Linked DNA regions of Zea mays. The protein of the gene in region 2 interacts with the protein of the main gene of each other region in a pairwise test. Links are inferred from orthologs where the notes say so. Each region holds a gene or a part of one and is shown on either strand. Other genes may lie near its edges. The genes, in order: WD repeat-containing protein 33 and IDP798.

Region 1 (9,869 bases), about 82 Mb from region 2:
CTGATTTCCACTATGTACAATTGCAGGCTCGCATGTGGCAGCGGGACGCTAGGGATAGATTCACATTGCAGCCAACTCCAGCAGCTGTCCTGGATGTATGTTCCTTCACTCGTAATATGTTAAAAAAATGGAGCGGCAGTTGCCTATGCTATGAGTATTGATTGGTTTAAGCTTTAGAAGATAGTACCTATGTTTGATAAATACCTTCATCTGTATGAAATCACGAGCAATCAGATGTTATACGAAATTCTTACGGATTGAAGTGTTAAATGTGAATCTAGCATACAATGGACACAATACTATTGTGCACCATAATAGTGAAGTTCGACAAAAAGTGCATACGAATAATTATCATGCTAGTAATTCTTCAATTAATCTTAACATGGATAGTTACTCTATGTTAGTATGTTATGCAGAAAATCCCGTTAATCCTAATAACCAATCAAAGATCTTGATGACTAGTTCTTGTTACAAACTTATTTTGATAGCTTTAACGAATTGCAGATGTTACCTTCTGTCGCATATCCAGACAATCCCTCAACAAGTTTTGCTGCCAAATTTGTACATTCGTCAATCAATAAGAACCGGTGCTCTATTAATCGTGTCTTGGTGAGTAACTGAGTATTGTAACCTATTTTTCTGCTTTCTCAATAATCCACATTGAACATTTCGCTGTTATGTACTTGTATTCTCAGAAGTCAAGCAACAGCTTGCTGTTGGTTATACATAAATCCAATTAGCAATACCAAGCGATTATACATAAATGCAATTAGCAACACCAAGGGGAAAAATTAGAGTAGACAGTAGAGATACACCATAGAAGAAACTTGAGCTAAGAGAGGGTCTGAGAGACACATTTATCCTACGTGATTGCAGCAAAATACCATCCTTGAAGCCTTTCTTCCACTTACTGAAATCTGATTGCTTTCCTTCAAAACTATTATTGTTTCCTGACCGCGAAGCTAGCTCTATCAGGATTTCTATGAAATGTAATTCATCTCTAGGTGTATATTTCAACCATATGGATTATGGATTACTATTGTGAAGTTGTTATTTTTAAAAGCCTGTAACTGCTTACAGTTGGATAAATATGCTCATTGATATGCCATTCATGATTAACAATAATACAATATTAGAATCTACCACTTATATCCTGGGCTGATCACTAGTCAGAATTTCAAAATTTGCAATGCTACATGCAAATTACTATTGCATTTTGGTAAATTCATCCAAGCCTTGCCTTGTGATCTTGGTAAAAACTGCTACAAATGAGCATTTATTCTTTTATGCATTAGTACACTCAATGATTTCAAGTCGAGCGACTTGCTAGTCGACACACCTGGGCGACTAGGCGACTAATCGCGATTAGGACGACGACTAGGTCGACTAATCGTGGCTAAGGCAGCAGCAGATTGAAGAGGGGATTCAAGAGGGGGGGACAGATCAAGAGAAAGGTGCAGAGGGGATTCAAGAGGGGGGACAGATCAAAAGAAAGGTGCAGTGATTGAAGTTACCGTCGGTTGATGTACTCATCTTGGTGCTAATGGCTGCTGGGCCGCCGCCGCTGCAGACTGCTGTTGGGCCGCCGCCGTCGAGGACGGTGAGCTGCTGACGCCGAGGAGGAAGGTGCAGGGCTGCCGCCACCGAGGAAAAGGGTGAGCAGGTGAGCACATTGAGGAACAAGGAGGGGGCAGAGGGTACCCACCGGTGTTGCACAGGGAGAGGTGAGCCGCCGCACAGGCACAGCCACCTGAACAGGAGAGAAGAGCAAAAAGCCACCGGAACAGGAGAGGAGAAGGTGACCTAAACCCTAACGTGTGTTTTACTGTTACACTAATGGGCCCAGCCGTCCAGCCCATATCCCAAACAGGCCGAAACAGGAGCCCTGGAAAATTAATCGTCCCGACCTAAACTGGACGACTAATCGTGTTTAGTCGACGACTAATCGGACGACCGGACGATTAGTCGAGCTGATCGGGTCGGCCTCCCTAGTCGTGTTAACAGGACCGACTAGTCCGACTAATCGCGACTAATCGCGATTAGTCGGACGACTTGAAATCACTGAGTACACTACAAACCAGGTAAATATTGTCAAGAAACTGTGCTGTCTTATTAATTTTGTCTATTTTAGTTTGTTGATTATGACAATCTGTAGCATAATTATCACTTTAATCAACATCCATCCACTTCTATTATTTTCATCCACTTGGGGTATAATACAATTTTATTTGTGGATAAAGTGGACCCCTACAGGCCGTCGACTTATCACTGGATCACAAAGTGGTGAATTTACGCTATGGAATGGGCAATCTTTTAACTTTGAAATGATACTTCAGGTATTCCACATTAATTATTTTGGACTTACTAATATGTGATAGTTTTAACTTAGTTTTTGGAGAAATCTGACAATCAGGCTCATGATCTACCTGTGAGATCAATGGTTTGGAGTCACAATGAAAACTGGATGGTGACGGGAGATGATGGTGGTGCAATCAAGTACATGTCCCTTCGCTTTCGTACCTTCAAGAAAAATCGTCATTTTGAACTGTACATTGTTTAACTCTTCAGCTGAACCTTTTGAATTCTTCTCCAGGTATTGGCAAAGTAACATGAACAACGTCAAAGTGAATAAAACAGCTCATAGAGAATCAGTTCGTGGTTTAAGGTGATGGCTGTATGATGCACTTTTTATTGTTTGCTACAAAGTTCATGTTCAATGTGTGCTGAAACATGTCCTTCAAACAGTTTTTCCAGGACAGACTTAAAATTCTGCTCCTGCTCCGATGACCGAACAGTGAAGGTTTGGGACTTCGCAAGATGCCAAGAGGAAAAATCATTAACTGGTAATGTTGCTAAAATTTTCTTGCAAATATTAATCTGGCATACAGCTGATTATTTGAAGTTATTATGTGATATTACGCGAAAGGGCCTTTAGCTGTGTTGGTTAGGTGGTCTGAGTAGCACTTCTCAGGTCTTGAGTTTGACTCCCCGTGTGAGCGAATTTTAGGTTGAGGTTAAAAAAACCCTCTCGTCTGTCCCACGCTAAAGCACAGGCCTAAGGCTCGGCCCTGGTCATGGACTCGCGGTCGTTCTCACATGGGCTACGGTGCCGCGGTGTATGGGTGGGCTACGGTGCCGCTGCGTATGGGTGGGGTAGGGGTTCGGGGTTTTCTCGACCTGCGTGAGAAGATCTTCTTAATGTAATACCTGGGGGCTGTCTTACCCCGTGGGTCGAGTTTTTATTATGTGATATTACTTTGTTTTTTCATCAAATAACCTGAATTTCCCTTCAACTCAGCCAGGCCACGGTTGGGATGTTAAAACTGTCGATTGGCATCCTACAAAGTCTTTACTGGTTTCAGGTTAGTATATGTTTGTTCTTGTTTAATGAGTTTATTCATGCGGGACTTATTCAATTCTGTGTCCATAGGTGGCAAAGACTATCTTGTGAAACTTTGGGATGCAAAAAGTGGCAGAGAGCTGAGCTCATTGTCGGTATTCCTGCCACTTCCATATTTTGTTAATTCTTGAAGATCTGTGTTACATTATGATTTATATCTGCAGCCATGGTCATAAAAATATTGTGCATTGCGTGAAGTGGAATCAGAATGGGAACTGGGTACTGACTGCCTCGAAGGATCAGATTATTAAGGTCTGTTGCTTGTTCTTTTGTACTTTGGTCTGTTTTTCTTGTCTTCAAAGAACTGATGGCAGTGTACACGCTATAACCAAAATTCTAGTGCTGTCTATGGAGATGGGCCAATCCATCCTTGTGAGCAAATGATGGCAGTAAATTATTAACTTTTGGTACGTTTGCTAATGCTATCACTAATTCGTTTTGCAGCTGTATGATATTAGATCCATGAAAGAGCTGCAATCCTTCCGTGGGCACACCAAGGACGTCACTGGTTAGATAGCTGTTCCAATATCAAGATTTTTATAATTTATATACCCCTTCACATATTTTAAGCTTCAAAAATTGACACAAGTTTTGGATGTACTAGTTCATTTGTTCATTGTAACCATACATTCTATGATTGTTAGAACAGTGGCTAAAAAATTTCTAGAAAGGTATGGTGCCCACACTTGTTTGCCAAGGTTGTACTGAATATGTATTCGGTTACTTCATTTTTACAGCATTGGCGTGGCACCCATTTCATGAAGAATATTTTGTTAGTGGGAGCTTTGATGGAGCTATATTTCATTGGTTAGTCGGGTAAGGTATCCATAGCATAATTGAAATTACTGATCTTTGTCACCCTTGGAATTTGCTACTTTGTGCTAAGTTATTCAATTCTTTTCACCCTCCAAGATCGACGTACAACTTTTTATGTCTTTTGTTGTCTGAAAATAATGTCTCAAGTCTCAACTTGATGAGCAAGCTGTTTCATTTTTTTGTCAGCCATGAAGCTCCACAGATTGAAATAAGTAATGCACATGACAGTAGTGTCTGGGATCTTTCGTGGCATCCTGTAGGCTATCTACTTTGCAGGTACTTGGCTTGCTTTTGAATTTTGTATTGTAACACTTTATGACATGTTTGCTTATTTTACTGTAATGCATACATAATCTGAATTTATTTTCAATACAATTTGTTTCATTTGTTTAATGCTTTAGTTGTATGTGAACTCATTAAAAATCAAATATTTGATTTATTTTGTAGTGGAGGCAATGATCACGCTACAAAGTTCTGGTGTAGAAACAGGCCTGGTGATCTTACCCGTGATAGATACAACAGTGGCCAAATGCAAGGTTGCCTTTATTTGAATTTAGCTCGTTATTTCATCTCATTTGTCCTGTTTTGGTCATAAAACAATAACATATTAGACATATACTCTTGCACTTGCATGTACATGTATAATTGTATACACCCCCTTCCAATATCACTATTTAGTTCGTCTATTACTTGCTTCACACAGACAGGTGTTTAATGGTGTTTATGTGCTGCCTTGTGACCTTTTCCTTCCAAAGAAGGAATTCTTAATGCATAGATTATGACTTTTTTCAGGTTTTGGTGACCAACATGCTGCTTTTGGTGCTCGTGGTATGGGTGGATTCCAGATGCCTGAACCTCCAATAACGCCTGGACCATTTGCTCCTGGATTGTCACGCAATGAAGGTACCATCCCTGGCATTGGGGTTGCAATGACCTTGGCAGGCCAGTCTTTTGATGGATCTGATGGAGAGCAGAGGCCATCTATTCCGGGTCTTCCACCTGGGCAACCCCCGCTGCCACCAGGTCCTCATCCATCACTTCTTGGGCAGCAACAACAGTATCAACAGATACCTCAGCAGCAACATCCCCAGTTTTCGCAGCCACCACCTCCGAACATGCCCCAACTGCAGGCACCAGCTCACATGCTTTCACATTCACAAGGATCTCGGCCTACTCTTCCCCAGCTTCCACCAATGGGTGGACCATCAGTGCCATCACAAGTGAACCCACCGCTTCCGCCTATGCCTCACCCAACGGTACTGTTCATTGATACCTTTACAACGTTGTTAAACTGAGGGAGGTACAACTGTTTACTTAGCATGTTCTGTCTTTCTATTTATCTGAGCTGATAAGTGATAATCGAAAACCAAATGCCTCGTCTGCAAACCTTGCAAGTTTGCATCAAAAGACCGTTTTCAGTGAACTTGTTTTTTTTTCTCAAAGAAAAAAAAACTCCAATTGACCTTCAAAATTGTTAGCATGTCTGCTTTAGTTTGAGATAAGCATGAATATGTATGAATTTGATATGACACATGAATACATCTGAGTTTAAGGTGAAGAATTGTTAGAATACCCGTTTAGGGTTTGGGTCTTCCCCGTGTAATGACCATCTCACCCCTCTGTAATGGGCCTGGCCCAGTTTACTCAGCCTATTAATACATCACCCAACCCCTGTTAGGGTTAGGGTTCACATTCCAACATGGTATCAGAGAGCTAGGGTTAGTTTTTTTCCTTCCAGCCGCCGGCCCCCAGCCGCCGGCCTCCCTCTCCCGCCGCCGGCCCCCCAGCCGCCGGCCTCCCTCTCCAGCTGCCGGCCTCCCTCCTCTCCCTCCCAGCCGCCAGCTCCTCCCCTGCTGCCTGCCGCCCCTGCAGTTCGCGCCCCAGCCGCGTCCCCCAGCCGCCATTCCACGAGTACTGCGTCTACGCCGCCGCCTGGTCCGCGCGCCACCCGGACGTCTTCGCGTCGGCCTCCGGAGACCGAACCGCGCGCGTCTGGGACGTCTGGGACCCCGCGCCCACGCTCATCCTGCCCGCGCACGACCACGAGGTGCTCTTGCTCGACTGGGACAAGTACGACCCCTCCATCCTCGCCACCGCCTCCGTCGACAAGTCCATCCGCGTTTGGGACGTGCGCGCGCCGCGGGCGCCCATCGCGCTGCTCGCCGGACACGGCTACGCCGTTAAGCGGGTCCGTTTCTAGCCAACACCGCGCCCCAAGCCTGCAGCGACCCAAGTGCCGCGACGCCCGCGCTCAGGCGCCGCCGCCCCCACCGGCAGCTCGCGCCCATCGACCCCGCGCCGTCCAGGAGCACCCGCCCGGAGGACCCGCGCCCCTGCTGTTCCGCGCCAAGCAGCGCCCCTGCTGTCTCGTGCCGAGGACGCCCGACGCCGAGCACCCAGCCGCCCCTGCTGTTCCGCGCCTGGCTGTCCAGTCCGCGCCTCCCTGCGCCGGCCTGCACCGGTCGCCATGAGCTTTACCTAGCCCGCCGCTCTCGTGACTGTGCGTGTCCTCCTCCACGGCGGCCAGCTCATCCGGGGCATGTTCGTGTCCTTCGATCCAGTCTGGAACCCTATTCTTCGGGACTGCGTCGAGGTCCACCCTCAGGCGGGCCGTCACGTGCCTGGACCGCTTGTCTTCCCACGTGCTGCGATCGCCTCCCTAGCGATTGAGCCCGTGTCATCTCCCTCCCTAGTGCCTCTGTCGGGGCACCTTATTTGGCCCTCTCCGCTCACACCGTACCTTCGCCACTTCCACCTCCCCGAACCACCACCGATTGGGTGGTTGACTCCGGGGCCTCCTTCCACACTACCCCCACCACTAATTCGTTACTCCACTCCCATCCACCCCACCCCTCACATCCTACCTCCATCGTCGTCGGCAGCGGTTCCACCCTCCCAGTCACCTCAGTAGGTACATTGGTTCTTCCAGGACCATTCTGCCTTAACGACGTCCTTGTTGCTCCCGGACTGACTCATCCCCTCCTCTCGGTTTGTCGCTTCACTAGTGACAACCAGTGCTCTATGGAGTTCGACCCCTGGGGCCTCACCATACGCCACCTTCCCACATGCTGTGCTCGCTCGCTGTGACAGCTTCGGCCCCCTCTATTCTCTTCACTTGCCCTCCACTCCCCACACCAGAGTAGCCTCATCTCCTATACTTACTACTACCACCACATCACATGCTCTTGCTACTACCACCACCTCCTCCGCCATTTGGCACCGTCGCCTCGGGCACCCTGGACCTGACGTCATGTCCTAGCTTTCTGGCCTCTCCGACATATCATATACTCGGGGCTCTTTTGAGCGCCTCTGTCATGCTTGTCAGCTCGGCTGTCACTCCCGTCTTCCTTTTTCCACTTCCACGTCCAGGACTGTTCAGGCCTTTGATCTTGTCCACTGTGATCTCTGGACATCTCCTGTCCTTAGCCTCTCCGACTACAAATACTACCTGGTCATTCTGGATGACTACTCCCATTTCCTTTGGACTTTCCCCCTTCGGCTGAAGTCCGACACGTTTACCACCCTCACTCACTTCTTCGCCTGGGTATCCACCCAGTTCCGGCGCCCGGTCCGTGCCCTGCAGTGTGATAATGGCCGCGAGTTCGACAACAACGCCTCCCGCTCTTTCTTCCTCACTCACGGCGTCCAGTTGCGTCTCTCGTGTCCCTACACCTCTGCTTAGAACGGCCGGGCCGAGCGCATGATTCGCACCACCACCAACATGATCCACTGCCTTCTCTTTCAGGCGTCTCTCTCTGCCACCTACTGGGCAGAGGCCCTTCATACCGCCACGCATCTCCTCAACCGTCTTCCCTCGAAGGCGGTGAGCCACCCTACACCTCACTTCGCCCTGTACGGCACAGCCCCTTCCTACGACCACCTGCGCGTGTTCGGCTGTGCCTGCTACCCTAACATTTCCGCTACCGCCCCTAACAAGCTTTCTCCTCGCTCCACTCGCTGCCTCTTCCTCGGCTACTCCCTTGACCACAAGGGGTATCGGTGCCTGGACCTCACCTCCCAGCGCATCATCATCTCTCGTCACGTCGTCTTCGACGAAGATGTGTTTCCCCTTGCAGGCTCCACCCCACCCACCGATCTTGACTCCCTCCTCGAGTCCGACCCGGTTCCCCCCACCCCCGGCGCCCCGTCTTGCGTCGTTACCTGCTCCTCGTGCAGCCACGACGCCACAGCTCGCGCCCATTTCCGCGCCACGCGCGGCGCCATCGACCCCGCCTGCGCCACGCGCGGCGCCATCGACCCCGCCTGCGCCACGCGCGGCGCCATCGACCCCGCCTGCGCCACGCGCGGCGCCATCGACCCCGCCTGCGCCACGCACGGCCACGTTGGTCATGCCTGCGCCATGCGCGGCCCCGTCGATCCTGCCTGCGCCACGCGCGGCCCCGTCGACCCCGGCTTGCTTCGCCATCCCCACACTCGTCTACCACCGCCGCGGCCACGCCACTACCTCCGCGCCCCCCGACTCGGGCCCGTCGACGAGCGCGACCCGCTTTGCCGACCCCGCCGTCGTCTATCACCGCCGCGAGCCGGCCACACCCGCCGCTCTCGACGTTTCGGCGGTCCGCTCCGAGTCGTCCGTATACCACCTGGTCGCCATCCACCGTGACCCCGGACATGTCCACCCGATGGTGACTCGGCGCGCCGCTGGCGTTCTTCGCCCCGTCGACCGGCTGATCCTGGCAGCTGTCAGCTGATACGTTCAACACTCCACCCGACGCTTCCCCGGTGCCCTCCTCCGTTCGCACTGCCCTCGCCGACCCACATTGGCGTCGTGCTATGGAGGAGTACGCGGCCCTCTTGTCCAACCACACCTGGGACCTGGTGCCGTGTCCACCAGGCACCAACGTGGTCATCGGCAAGTGGCTATTTCGCCACAAGCTGACCTCGGATGGCTCCCTCGGCCGCTACAAGGCCCGTTGGGTCCTTCGGGGCTTCACACAGCGCCCCAGAGTGGACTACGATGAGACCTTCAGCCCCGTCGTCAAGTTCGCCACTGTTCGCGCCGTCCTCCCTCGCCCTCTCCCGCGACTGGGCGATCCATCAGCTCGATGTCAAGAATGCCTTCCTCCATGGCACTCTGACGGAGACTGTCTACTGCAGCCAGCCCACCGGCTTCGTCGACGTTGACCGTCCGGATCTGGTCTGCCGGCTGAACCGGTCCCTATACGGCCTCAAGCAGGCGCCACAGGCATGGTACAGTCGCTTCGCCTCCTACCTGGCCTCCATCGGCTTCGTTGAGGCCAAGTCGGACACGTCCCTGTTCATCTACCGGCGCGGCGACGACACCGTCTACCTCCTGCTCTACGTCGACGACATTGTGCTCACGACATCCACCGCCGACCTTCTACACCGCACGATCGTCGCCCTTTAGCTGGAGTTCGCGATGAAGGACCTGGGGCCCCTACACCACTTCCTCGGCATCACCGCCGAGCGCCGGCCCCAGGGTCTCTTCCTCCACCAGCGCCAGTACGCCATCGACATCCTGGAGCGGGCTGGCATGTCTGACTGCAAGCCCTGCTCCACGCCTGTCGACACTTAGGCGAAGCTCTCTGAGGATGACGGGCCTCCGGTCACCGTCGCGACGTCCTACTGGAGCCTGACCGGCGCGCTCTAGTACCTCACCTTCTCCAGGCCC
Region 2 (10,491 bases):
TAATCCATCTCCAGGGCCCTGAAGAATACATGCTTGTCAGAACCCAAAATAATTCAATTGATGGTCGTCTTATACCGAGTTTCATGTATTTCCAGTTCTGTTCAAAACATCTCAGTTATCACAAAGGAAAACACAGAGTTGGCTAATTTGATCCAATGAAACCACCGTCATCTTCCAGTCAATGCAACTCAGTGTTATGAACAATAACTATATCTGACAGACAGGTAATTTACATATGATCAACTTTAAAGACTCAAGAGGCATGTGGCCACATGGGTGTATAAGCAAACTTACAAGCATCAGAGTATTATCCATTTCTTCTTGTTTCATCATATAATCATCAGGGTTGATGACCTCACCAAAGTCGTCCCATTCAGCAGTGTTTTCAAAGAAGGGAAACATTGGAGCAACACTGGTTAAAGGAGGGACAAATCCATCTATGAGAATATCATTGTTCCCACCAAAATGTGAAGCTGGTAGTGTCACAAAGTAAAGAATGATAGTCAACTATACATAACATGTCACATCAAATAGAAATAAACCTTACAGCATAAGTTTGTAGAAACTAAATGGAACGGCAGAAATGTTAGCATAAGCATTGTCTTGCCTACTTCAATATAGTTATCTATACTACTCTCTATTAAGAACCTAATATGGGCACATGTTGCTACCACGGCTTCACCCTCCCCACGCTCAGCGCGCGCAAAAAATAGTGCAAAGCGAGCACTCTAACTCAAGCCGACTGCTCTAGAAAATTGAGGTTAACTATCAGACCACACATATTTTGATGTTTAGAAATAAACAATAATTATATTTGTAGTCTAGTCATCGTTCCACCCGCTTCCCCACCCCGTTGCAACGCACGGGCATATAACTAGTAATCATGAAGAGTGACATCAAACTTGATCAAGCCATTGTCTGAAGCAAGCAGAAAAAAAGTAGAGCTGAATCAAAGAAACAGCAAGTGTACTCTAGAACTCATTATCGACAGATATGCCATATTTAAGGTTGCATGTAAGTCATTTCAATAAAATATTTTATGGTTGCATGTGTGGTAAGTTATGAGAGAGATTAACATCTAGGCGTGTTATACCATTCACAGATTTTCGAGATGAGCTTGCATCAATGACCATTGGCTCAGAAGCCTTTGTGTTTGATCCATGAGAAGCCTTTAGCTCCTCTTCTTTGACAAGGCTAGCCTTTAGCGATTTCTCTTTTTTTATCCGTTCTTGCTCTTCTTCATAAGCCTTTAGTTCATTACCCACCAAAGGAATCCTCTTGCTCATAGTGACCTTTAAAGCTTTAGGGGGTGGGTCCACTTGGAGCATTCGAGCCAGTGTCCCAAACTGGAGAGCAAATATTTTCTGATCAGGTAGTTGTATAATGATACTCATGCTTGTAAGTGAAAGAACATTAGGATTAAAAGAATGGTAGTTTGATCAAAGTGAGGCTTCATAATCATATTCAATTTGTTTAAGTGTGGGCAAGCACTGTCAGCACTCAAGCAGTCATAATTCGGGAGCTTAAATACTTCCTGTGGCATGTCATTTCAGATTGCTAACTAGTGAGAGCATGTGAAGATTGATGACAAGAGCAACACACAGGAATGTACCTGTCCCTTCTCAGTAAAGAGCACTAGATTTCTTGCTTCATTTGCCATCTCCACAAATATGTCATGAGAAAAGCCAACCTCCAAACTTGCCATGGATGCCAGAACCACCTACTAAATAAGTGTTTAGTTCAAGGTTCCAACAGTATAGTAGAGAAAGAGAAACAGATAATTATGCTACCCTAACCTTTGGAGCATCTCCCAATTTCTCAAGCTCTTCTTTGTTAATTATCAGCGTGACCTTTCTGCGACATTGAACATCAAAGGTTGTTAATAATAGAATCAGATCAGATGGACCACAATTTATTATTGAAAACCTGTTCATTTAATACAAATATCCAAAATCTGAGGGGCAGAATTGGTTAAAAAAGCTAAAAGTACAGGTCAAATGTAGACTTCTAAGTTCTAATAACTGAACAACTCAGATGAGAAAATATAAAACTGTGACTTCATTATATGCATTAAAAGAGGATTTGTAAGTGAACATAGCACAAAAAGAACCAACGAAAGGTTTAGTTAGAACTTATGTTTGAGGTCATACTTTAACAAGAAGGCATTGGCTCTACTGCTTTCAAAAGATTTTGCAATTTGATCACCCATCCATTCAAGAAAACTCTTGACATAATCAACGGTACTTGTCGACACATTTGTCAGGAAGTAGATAGGGTACTGCAATCGCCTTTCATCCCAGTACTGTAACATAACAAGACGATAGCACATTATTGAACTAACAGGAATACAGAGTCCAGCAATAGTGTCAGAGATTTTTACCATATCCAATAACAAAAGAAGTTCCAACACTCTACCAGCCGTGTCAACAGGAAGTAGCACACTTCCACCAGTTGCCAGAACTTTAATTAATGATTCTGCATGAAAGATGATGGCATTAGACGATGGTACAACACCATGGCTAGGATGCATCACATATCTATATAAAAGGTAAAAACCCCATCATTTTGGAGCTCTATAAAAAACAAGAATGAACTTCATCATGAGATGACAAAACTCAGATGCTAGAACTTAGGAATACTGCTTAAACTGCAAAAGTCTAAAGAAACAGAATAATAAAAGCAGATACAGTGCCAAGTAATGTACCAATGAAATCTTGATCCTGCTTTTTTCTATAGCCTTGGTTGTTCAAAGCATTGTAAGCATCAGTTATCAGAACAGCTGGCCGCACGAAAGATCCAAGAACGGTGCCATTCAAATGCCTGGGAAAATACAACAATTTTGGTATTTTATGCCTAAAACACTAAATTAATTCTGAAAAAAAAGAGAAAAACTAACCTCTCTTTCCGATGGTTGAAGTCAACAGCATACACAACATCCTCCCCATCTTTTGTAATCTTCCAAACTGTCCCCCCCAAAAGATGCCCAGCCACATGTGGAGCAATAACAACTCCTTCACCTTTATCTATCAAAAGATATTATGTGAGCAGATGCAGTGTAGCATGCTAAAACAATGTATATCATTGTTAAGGTACAATCATCATGACCTTACTGACCATTCAGAAGGTAATTTTGTGAGTACTTCAGTCTCACAACATTTTGGAATGCAGCATCAACATCATCTAGAGTAAACAAGTCAAAGTCTGAAACTTGCTGCAAAAGAAAGATTAACAGGTAAGGGTACACTGAACAAATATAGACTACAAAGTGAAGTCCAGTTTTCTTTAGCATATTGGGAGGGAGGGAAGGAGACTATATGGCATTTTAAAGGAGTGGTTGAAAAGTGTACGCCCTAGGAAAATATCAAGCACCATGACGCTTACCCATCGAGACAGGAAATGGTCATACATGGTCAAAAGGCCAAGCCTAAACACGGGTTCTGTTGCATAAACTGGTGCAGACAGCCCAAGGTGTTTCATAGCGTAAGGCAAAGCTCCTAGATGCATCATGTCAGGATGTGACAAAAGAACAGCATCTACAGTTGGTGCAACCCTGAAAAATGTACAGTGCCTATTAGTGTAAGTGAAAACTAACAATCAATTTGCTACGACGATAAATAGCATATTGACACCAATGACATGTATGCATCTGCAGTGATGGGAAGTATCTCCTTTACTCAAGTACTCAACTGCTGAGTGTAGATTTTGGAAAGAAAAATGGAGTGCATCCTTGCATCTATAAGATGTATTACAACAAATGGCGGGAAAATGAATGGTGAAAGGATAAATCAGCGACAAGGCAATGCACTGTGATTGGCATGGTGTTACACAAAGAGGCCAAAGTTTGGACATAAGGAGCTACATGGTTTTACAGCGTCAGATAGACTTATTTCCATCCTCTTACAAGAAACAACAGATATGAGCAAGTGCGTCGATTACACTAGACTACACCTTAGGCATAGAAGATGTGGCACAATAGCCATTCACACATACATAAATTGAAACAAGATGGAGACTACACCTTTGGATGGACATGGATTTGTGAACATTCACCCTACAACACGCACACATAAATGTGCAAGCACATCAGTCAATCATTGAAACAAGATGGAGATAGCATAGGTTGCAGCACAAAAAAAACTAGGACTGTAGAAACCACGAGCTACTCTCCATCTACTAGTCACGCAGAGGCACCAATCATCAGCCAGAATTTAGACAACTCCCTTAGTCCCTTGATTAATGCAACTGAACAAATCGATGTTGCGCATTGCATTGGGCCAGTCGCCAATCCATCTGAGCACAGCGCCAACTAAACTCCCGACACACCGCCAGAGGTCATGGTTTTTAAAGCAGTATGGCGAGACAAGGCGTTGGAGTGTGCCTAGGCGAGGTAGGCGAGCAAGGCACCTAGGCGTTGGACCACTGCCCAGACACATAGGCGACTCCTTTAAAACAGTACCAGAGGTAATTCGTCGAAAAGGTGTATTCCCTCTGTCCACAAAAGAATGCAACTATGGGACATATGTGAATCAACTAGTTTAACTTTGACCAAGTTTACAACGAATAGTATTAACATTTATGTCTTTAACTAAGTTTATTATGAAAACATACTTCTAAATCGATTTAATGCTACTTATTTTGTGCCACAATTGTTTGTAATTTTTATGTAATTATGGTCAAAGTTCAATTTGTGACTCCTCGAAAAGGGAGAATTGCCTTCTTTTGTGGACGGAAGGAGTACTAAAATGTGCGCCGGGCGCAGGAGCCACTTCCACACTAGTAACTCAATCGACTACAAGCTAAGCTGACAAGTCACGAGAGAAAGAAGATGTGTACTTTGCGAGGGGTTGAAGTTGCGAGGTATCGCAGAGGTCGGTCCATCCGCAGTCGAGGAGGAAGCGGAAACCATCGACGGCGAGTAGGTAGCACAGGGGGCCCTCCCCGTACGCCCCGCTGAGAGGCGTCACCTGCACCGAAGTCCCCATCTGATCTTATAACCCCTTCGGCGGCAGCGGCGGCGGTTCCGACGCCCGGTGGTCAATCTGCGCTTTGTCCCGTCCTTCAGCCTCGACCGAGCGAGCAGAGGCCGCGGCGCTCGAGCGAGAGAAGAGGAGAGAATGGGAGGCACGGGTGCCGACCCAACGAGAGTGTAGGGCCGCGAGGCGGGGGTGGAGGAGGGCCTCCAGCCGGAGGATGAAGGAGGGCGGCGGACCGCCGAGCCGGAGGACGGAGGAAGGAGGCGCGGGCTGACGGAGGCCAACAAGCGAGGCGATTTTTTCCACTTCTCCCTCCCTCCGTTGTTAGGAGGGAATCGCGGGCCGAAAGCGCGCCGTTTGGGCCGTAGGTTTGAGACTGTGTTCCATAGATAGCGTAAATTAGAAAAATCGAAACTATATATGACAATATTATTTGTATAGTACAGTTTAAAATAGATGATGAAATGAGAGATCTACTCAACCAGTCTGTTTGATGTGGTATTCAGACCTAGAATTCTAAATTGGCAGGCGAGACTCCATATGGCTCCCACTCTACAAATTGCTGCTCCACTCCACAACTTTATATGGAGTAGACTCTATGTAAAGTTGTAGCTACCTGAAATGACTACTTTGACATTTTTGCCATTGGTTACATTTTTATGCAGTAGGAACAAAGTTTAGATCTCTATCAAAATTAGCAAATTCTTTGCCCTTACTTGTATGCTACATATAAAATTGTTCGGACTGCAAGTTTGTGAAGAACTAAAATATTAAGAACGTGGCTCCCTAAGAACTCATCAATTATGTTAAAATTAGTGATTGACTTGGGTTACTGAATAATTTTGGATGAACTTTTTTTTACATTAGTCCATGTCTATCGATGTCTATGCATGAGATTTTCGAGTGTGCATGATCGTGGGAGCCACGGAGGGCATTAGGTCATCTCCGGTTGATCCTTTGTTCCATCACGTATATCATCCTCTATTTCAAACTTTACTCTACAAGCAGTGTCAAACAACGTCGTCTACAGTGTTGTGTCCCCTATTTTACACGATCCACTAAAGACAACCTTATGGATTGCAAATAAGCTCACCGACTAGGTGATTCAGGTAGGTGGTGAGGCTACACATGTGTCGGCGTTTCGAGACAGGGGGGTCCCTAAGCCGACGAGTGAGTGTGCTGCGTGCCCCAGCCCAGATGGGTCGAGCGCGTGGGCGAGCGCGAAGGGGGGAGAGGCGAGGCGGCCGGAGCCGAGCGTGAGAGAGGTGGAAGTCCCGCGGCCTTCGTGTTCGTCCCGCGCCCAGGTCAGGTGCGCTTGCAGTAGGGGGGTTACAAGCGTCCACGCGGGTGAGGGAAGCGAGCGGTCCCAAGAGAGCGCCTGTCCCGTCCTCGGTCCCGCGCGGCCAACCTTCTCTGAGAAGGCCCTGGTCCTTCCTTTTATAGTCGTAAGGAGAGGATCCAGGTGTACAATGGGGATGTAGCAGAGTGCTACGTGTCTAGCGGAGGGAGAGCTAGCGCCCTAGGTACATGCCAATGTGGCAGCCGGAGAGATCTGGGCACCCTGCTGGCGTGATGTCGTGGCTGTCGGAGGTGCGGCGGAGCCTGGCGGAGGGACAGCTGTTGGAGCGGTCGAGTCCCTGCTGACGTCGTCCTGCTTCCGTAAGAGAGCTGGGGGCCGCCGTCGTCATGGAGCTTGTGGAGCGCCATCATTGCCTCTCTGGCGGAGCTGGCCGGATGAGACGCCGGTCTTGTTCTCCGTGACCCGAGTCGATTCGGGGTGGGATGATGATGGCGCCTACTGTTGACGTGGCGGTCTGTGCCCTAGGTAGGGCGACGTGGGGTTTCCTCCGAAGCCGAGGTTGAGTCTGCCTTCTGTTGCCGTGGCCGAGCCCGAGCCAAGGGGTCGGTCGAGGCGGAAGTCGTTCGGCCGAGGCCAGGGCGGAGTCCGAGCCCTGGGGTCGGGCGAGGCGGAGTTTCGTCGTCTTCCGGGTCTTAGCCCGAGTCCGAGCCCTGGGGTCGGGCGGAGCGGAGTTCGCCGTCTTCCGGGTCTTAGCCCGAGTCCGAGCCTTGGGGTCGGGCGGAGCGGAGTTCGCCGTCTTCCGGGTCTTAGCCCGAGTCCGAGCCCTGGGGTCGGGCGGAGCGGAGTTCGCCGTCTTCCGGGTCTTAGCCCGAGTCCGAGCCCTGGGGTCGGGCGGAGCGGAGTTCGCCGTCTTCCGGGTCTTAGCCCGAGTCCGAGCCCTGGGGTCGGGCGGAGCGGAGTTCGCCGTGGCGCCTTTGTCGAGGCCTGACTGCCTGTCAGACTTACTCTGTCGAGTGGCGCTGCAGTCGGAGTGGCGCAGGCGGCGCTGTCCTTCTGTCAGACTGGCCAGTGGAGCGGTGGAGTGACGGCGGTCACCTCGGCTCTGCCGGAGGCGCGTGTCAGGATAGAGGTGTCAGGCCTCCTGTGCGTTAAATGCCCCTGCAATTTGGTCAGTCGGTGTGGTGATTTAGTCAAGGTTGCTTCTGAGCGAAGCCAAGGCCTTGGGCGAGCCGGTGATGTGTCCGCCATAAAAAGGGGGGCCTCGGGCGAGACGGAAGTCTCTCGAGGTCGGCTGCCTTCGGCTGAGGCTAGGCTCGGGTGAAGCGTGATCGAGTCACTCGTGTGGACTGATCCCTGACTTAATCATGTCCATCAGGCCTTTGCAGCTTTATGCTGATGGGGGTTACCAGCTGAGAATTAGGCGTCTTGAGGGTACCCCTAATTATGGTCCCCGACAGTAGCCCCCGAGCCTCGAAGGGAGTGTTAGCACTCGCTTGGAGGCTTTTGTCGCACTTTTTTGCAAGGGGACCAGCCTTTCTCGGTTGCATTTCGTTCCGGTGGGTGCGCGCGAGCGCACCCGCCGGGTGTAGCCCCCGAGGCCTCGGAGGAGTGGTTACACTCCTTCGAGGTCTTAATACTTTGGCTGGTCTGGTCGTTCCCTCATGCGAACTGGCCGTAGCCCGGGTGCACGGTCGGGGCCCAAGCTCTCGGGCTGGTATGTTGACGCTGTCAACGATTTGGCCGGAGCCGGTTTTTGCGAGAGCAGCCCCCGAGCCTCTGCTCAGGGCGAGAGGACGATCAGGGACAGACTCGGCTTTTTACATACGCCCCTACGTCGCCTTTCCGCAAGGAGGAGGGGGGGAGTGCGCCATGTTACCCTCGATGGGCACCGAATATGGTGTCTCCGGTGAGCTGCAAGCGGGTAATCCGAGTGGACGTCCGTGCCCCGTTCATTGGGGTCGGCTAGGGGCCCAGAGGCACGCCCAAAAGTACCTGCGGGTGATTTGCCGGACCCGGTCCCCTGGCGACGGGGTCCGAGGGCTCGATGCCTCCCTCCGATGGGATTCCGTTACAAGATCGTTCCCACTGGTCTCGGAAATGTCCTAGGGTACCTCGGGAGCGCAGCCCGAGCCTCGGTTATGTATCGAACGTACCCCTGGTCATCCCTCGCTCGGTGTCTGAGGCGACTGTGAACCCTTCGGGGGCCAGCCTTCGAACCCCTGATCAGTAATGGGCGCGGAGCCCGAGTGGCCTGAGGCGGCCATGAAGCCCTTCGGGGGGCTGGCCTTCGAACCCCTGACCAGTAGTGGGTGTCGGGCCCACGCGATCTGAGGCGACTGTTGAACCCTCGGGGGGCCAGCCTTCGAACCCCTGATCAGTAATGGGGGGCTCGGAGCCCGGTTCCTTCGCGGAGAAGGATCCCTTTCGGGGTATCCCCCTTTCCCGGTCCCTGTTGCAAGAGATAGAGAAAGAGGAAAACGGAAAAGGATACGAAATCGGACGATATGGCGTACCTTTTCTGACGCGGTTATTACGGCGAAGGTGAAGCGTCGCGCGCTCCTCCTGCCAGAAGCGCCGCGTGTCTCGCCGCGGAGTTAATGCGACGGGGTGAGTGGTTGGCGGGGCGGTCGTTGCGCGCGTGCGATCCGTTCGAGGAATGGGTCACGGGTGCACCGTCTTCACGCCGTGAGAGGAGGCTCCCTTGCTGTCTCAGGATGGGACGTGAGCCTGGCTGACGACGTGACTGCTGCGCCCGCCCGCCTGCCACCGCTATTACTGCTGGCCCACTTTCGGTCGCTTTGACCGACGCGCCAGTCTGGCGCTGTTGGGTCGCCTCGAGTCGTGGCACAGGCTTCGCAACCGAAGAGGCGCGATGGTGGCACAAGTGGCGGTGCGGTTGCTTGCATGCAGCAACTGGCGTGCCGGTTGCTCGACGCGTGGGCCTGGGTTCCAGGCTGGCGTGTCAGAAGTCGGAGAAGCGCGTCCATCTGGCGTGGTTGCATGCCGCCTGCATGGCTGCCCGCCCCTTCCGCCCGTTGGTCTGGGCGAAAATGGGGGGTCGCCTGTAACCGCTGGACGGTCGTGCGCACCATGCGCGGCGGTTTGGCTTCTTCTGCCCTGAGCCGGCTTGCATGACGTGCGGGACCCAGCCCCCGAGTCGCAGGGGAGGGCCTTGGAGCGTGTTGGAGAAGACTCGGCCCGCGGCGCTTGGGGGCGCACGTAGGGGGAGTTGGCTTTAAAAGGAGGGAGGCTCCCTTCGTAAGGCAACCATGTCTTCTTCCTCCCTTAAGCGTCGGGTCTTCCCGTCTTCCAAGCCCCCGGATGGGGGGTATCCGCCGCCTTTCCGCCTCCTCGTTGGAGGAACGCAACTCCATGGGAGTTGGTACCTCTCAGCCATCGTTCGGCTTCAAGGATTTTCATCAGGCAGCCTGGTTGCTCCCTCCCGCCGGTGGCCACCCAAGACGGTGGCCTCCAGCTCCTGGATGGGGGGAGACAGACCAGGCTGCGGTCCCGCCCTCAGCGTCGGGTGCGTTCGTCATCCTCGCTGGGGCGGGGGCCGAGGCGAGCCGGGGCTCTATCTCGCATGCAGGTCGGCGAACCACCTCCTCTTCCAGCTTCTGGTGGTGGCAATCGTCCTCCCGCGCTGCGACGGAGTTGTCCTCCAGTCATGCCGGGGAAGGCGAACTGTTGCTGTCCAGCTAGGATGCAACATTCCGTCTTCCCCCTCGCATTCGGGGTGACGACGGCAGCGAGGATCTACCGGAGCGCTTGGGGGCGGCCCGCTCTTTGGCTTTGATGGCTTGTTCGCATCCCTTGAGTGGGACTGCGAACAAGAGCCTTCCGTTTGTAATGGCACTTCGAATGCCAGTGAGTTCGTTCATTGTGGCTGTCGAGGCCTGAACGTGTATGTAATTTTGGCACGGAGCCGTGTTTTTTCCTCATTTTCGAGCACTAGGTCTCGCCTGTTTGATTATCTGAACCGCTTTACCAAGCATGAGTTGCCCCGTGTCAAGGTGACGGGTGAGGTATCCGTATCCCGGAGGCGTAGGAATCCCTCGGCCCGTTCGGCCTTGTTATGTGAGGCTCCTCTAGCTTAGTTGAAGAGACCCCTCGGTCGCCCTTCGGTGGATCGAGGCCGGGGGTAGCGATATCAGTATGAACAGAGGCGGAGTTGGCTCGAGAATGGGAACCTGGTTGGCCGGAGCCTAGCCGTGTTGT

The links.
Region 1: the proteins of IDP798 (region 2) and WD repeat-containing protein 33 interact in binary tests that used the Arabidopsis thaliana proteins (3 or more experiments, as listed by UniProt). The link is inferred for Zea mays from reciprocal best matches to the Arabidopsis thaliana genes CPSF100 and FY.

What each region holds. Positions count from the first base shown.
Region 1 is NC_050098.1:151,288,841-151,298,709, forward strand, and holds part of WD repeat-containing protein 33, read left to right. Parts: intron 1-26; coding exon 27-95; intron 96-504; coding exon 505-609; intron 610-2,240; coding exon 2,241-2,336; intron 2,337-2,413; coding exon 2,414-2,496; intron 2,497-2,593; coding exon 2,594-2,665; intron 2,666-2,745; coding exon 2,746-2,843; intron 2,844-3,302; coding exon 3,303-3,362; intron 3,363-3,430; coding exon 3,431-3,491; intron 3,492-3,564; coding exon 3,565-3,652; intron 3,653-3,844; coding exon 3,845-3,908; intron 3,909-4,137; coding exon 4,138-4,216; intron 4,217-4,402; coding exon 4,403-4,492; intron 4,493-4,663; coding exon 4,664-4,752; intron 4,753-5,008; coding exon 5,009-5,472; intron 5,473-9,869.
Region 2 is NC_050098.1:233,410,315-233,420,805, forward strand, and holds the start of IDP798 (Cleavage and polyadenylation specificity factor subunit 2), read right to left. Parts: upstream 5,329-10,491; 5' UTR 4,983-5,328; coding exon 4,834-4,982; intron 3,551-4,833; coding exon 3,382-3,550; intron 3,212-3,381; coding exon 3,115-3,211; intron 3,024-3,114; coding exon 2,897-3,023; intron 2,821-2,896; coding exon 2,705-2,820; intron 2,476-2,704; coding exon 2,381-2,475; intron 2,303-2,380; coding exon 2,151-2,302; intron 1,855-2,150; coding exon 1,797-1,854; intron 1,721-1,796; coding exon 1,613-1,720; intron 1,347-1,612; coding exon 1,094-1,346; intron 474-1,093; coding exon 295-473; intron 19-294; coding exon 1-18. UniProt on the Arabidopsis thaliana protein: CPSF plays a key role in pre-mRNA 3'-end formation, recognizing the AAUAAA signal sequence and interacting with poly(A)polymerase and other factors to bring about cleavage and poly(A) addition. Required for antisense-RNA-mediated gene silencing.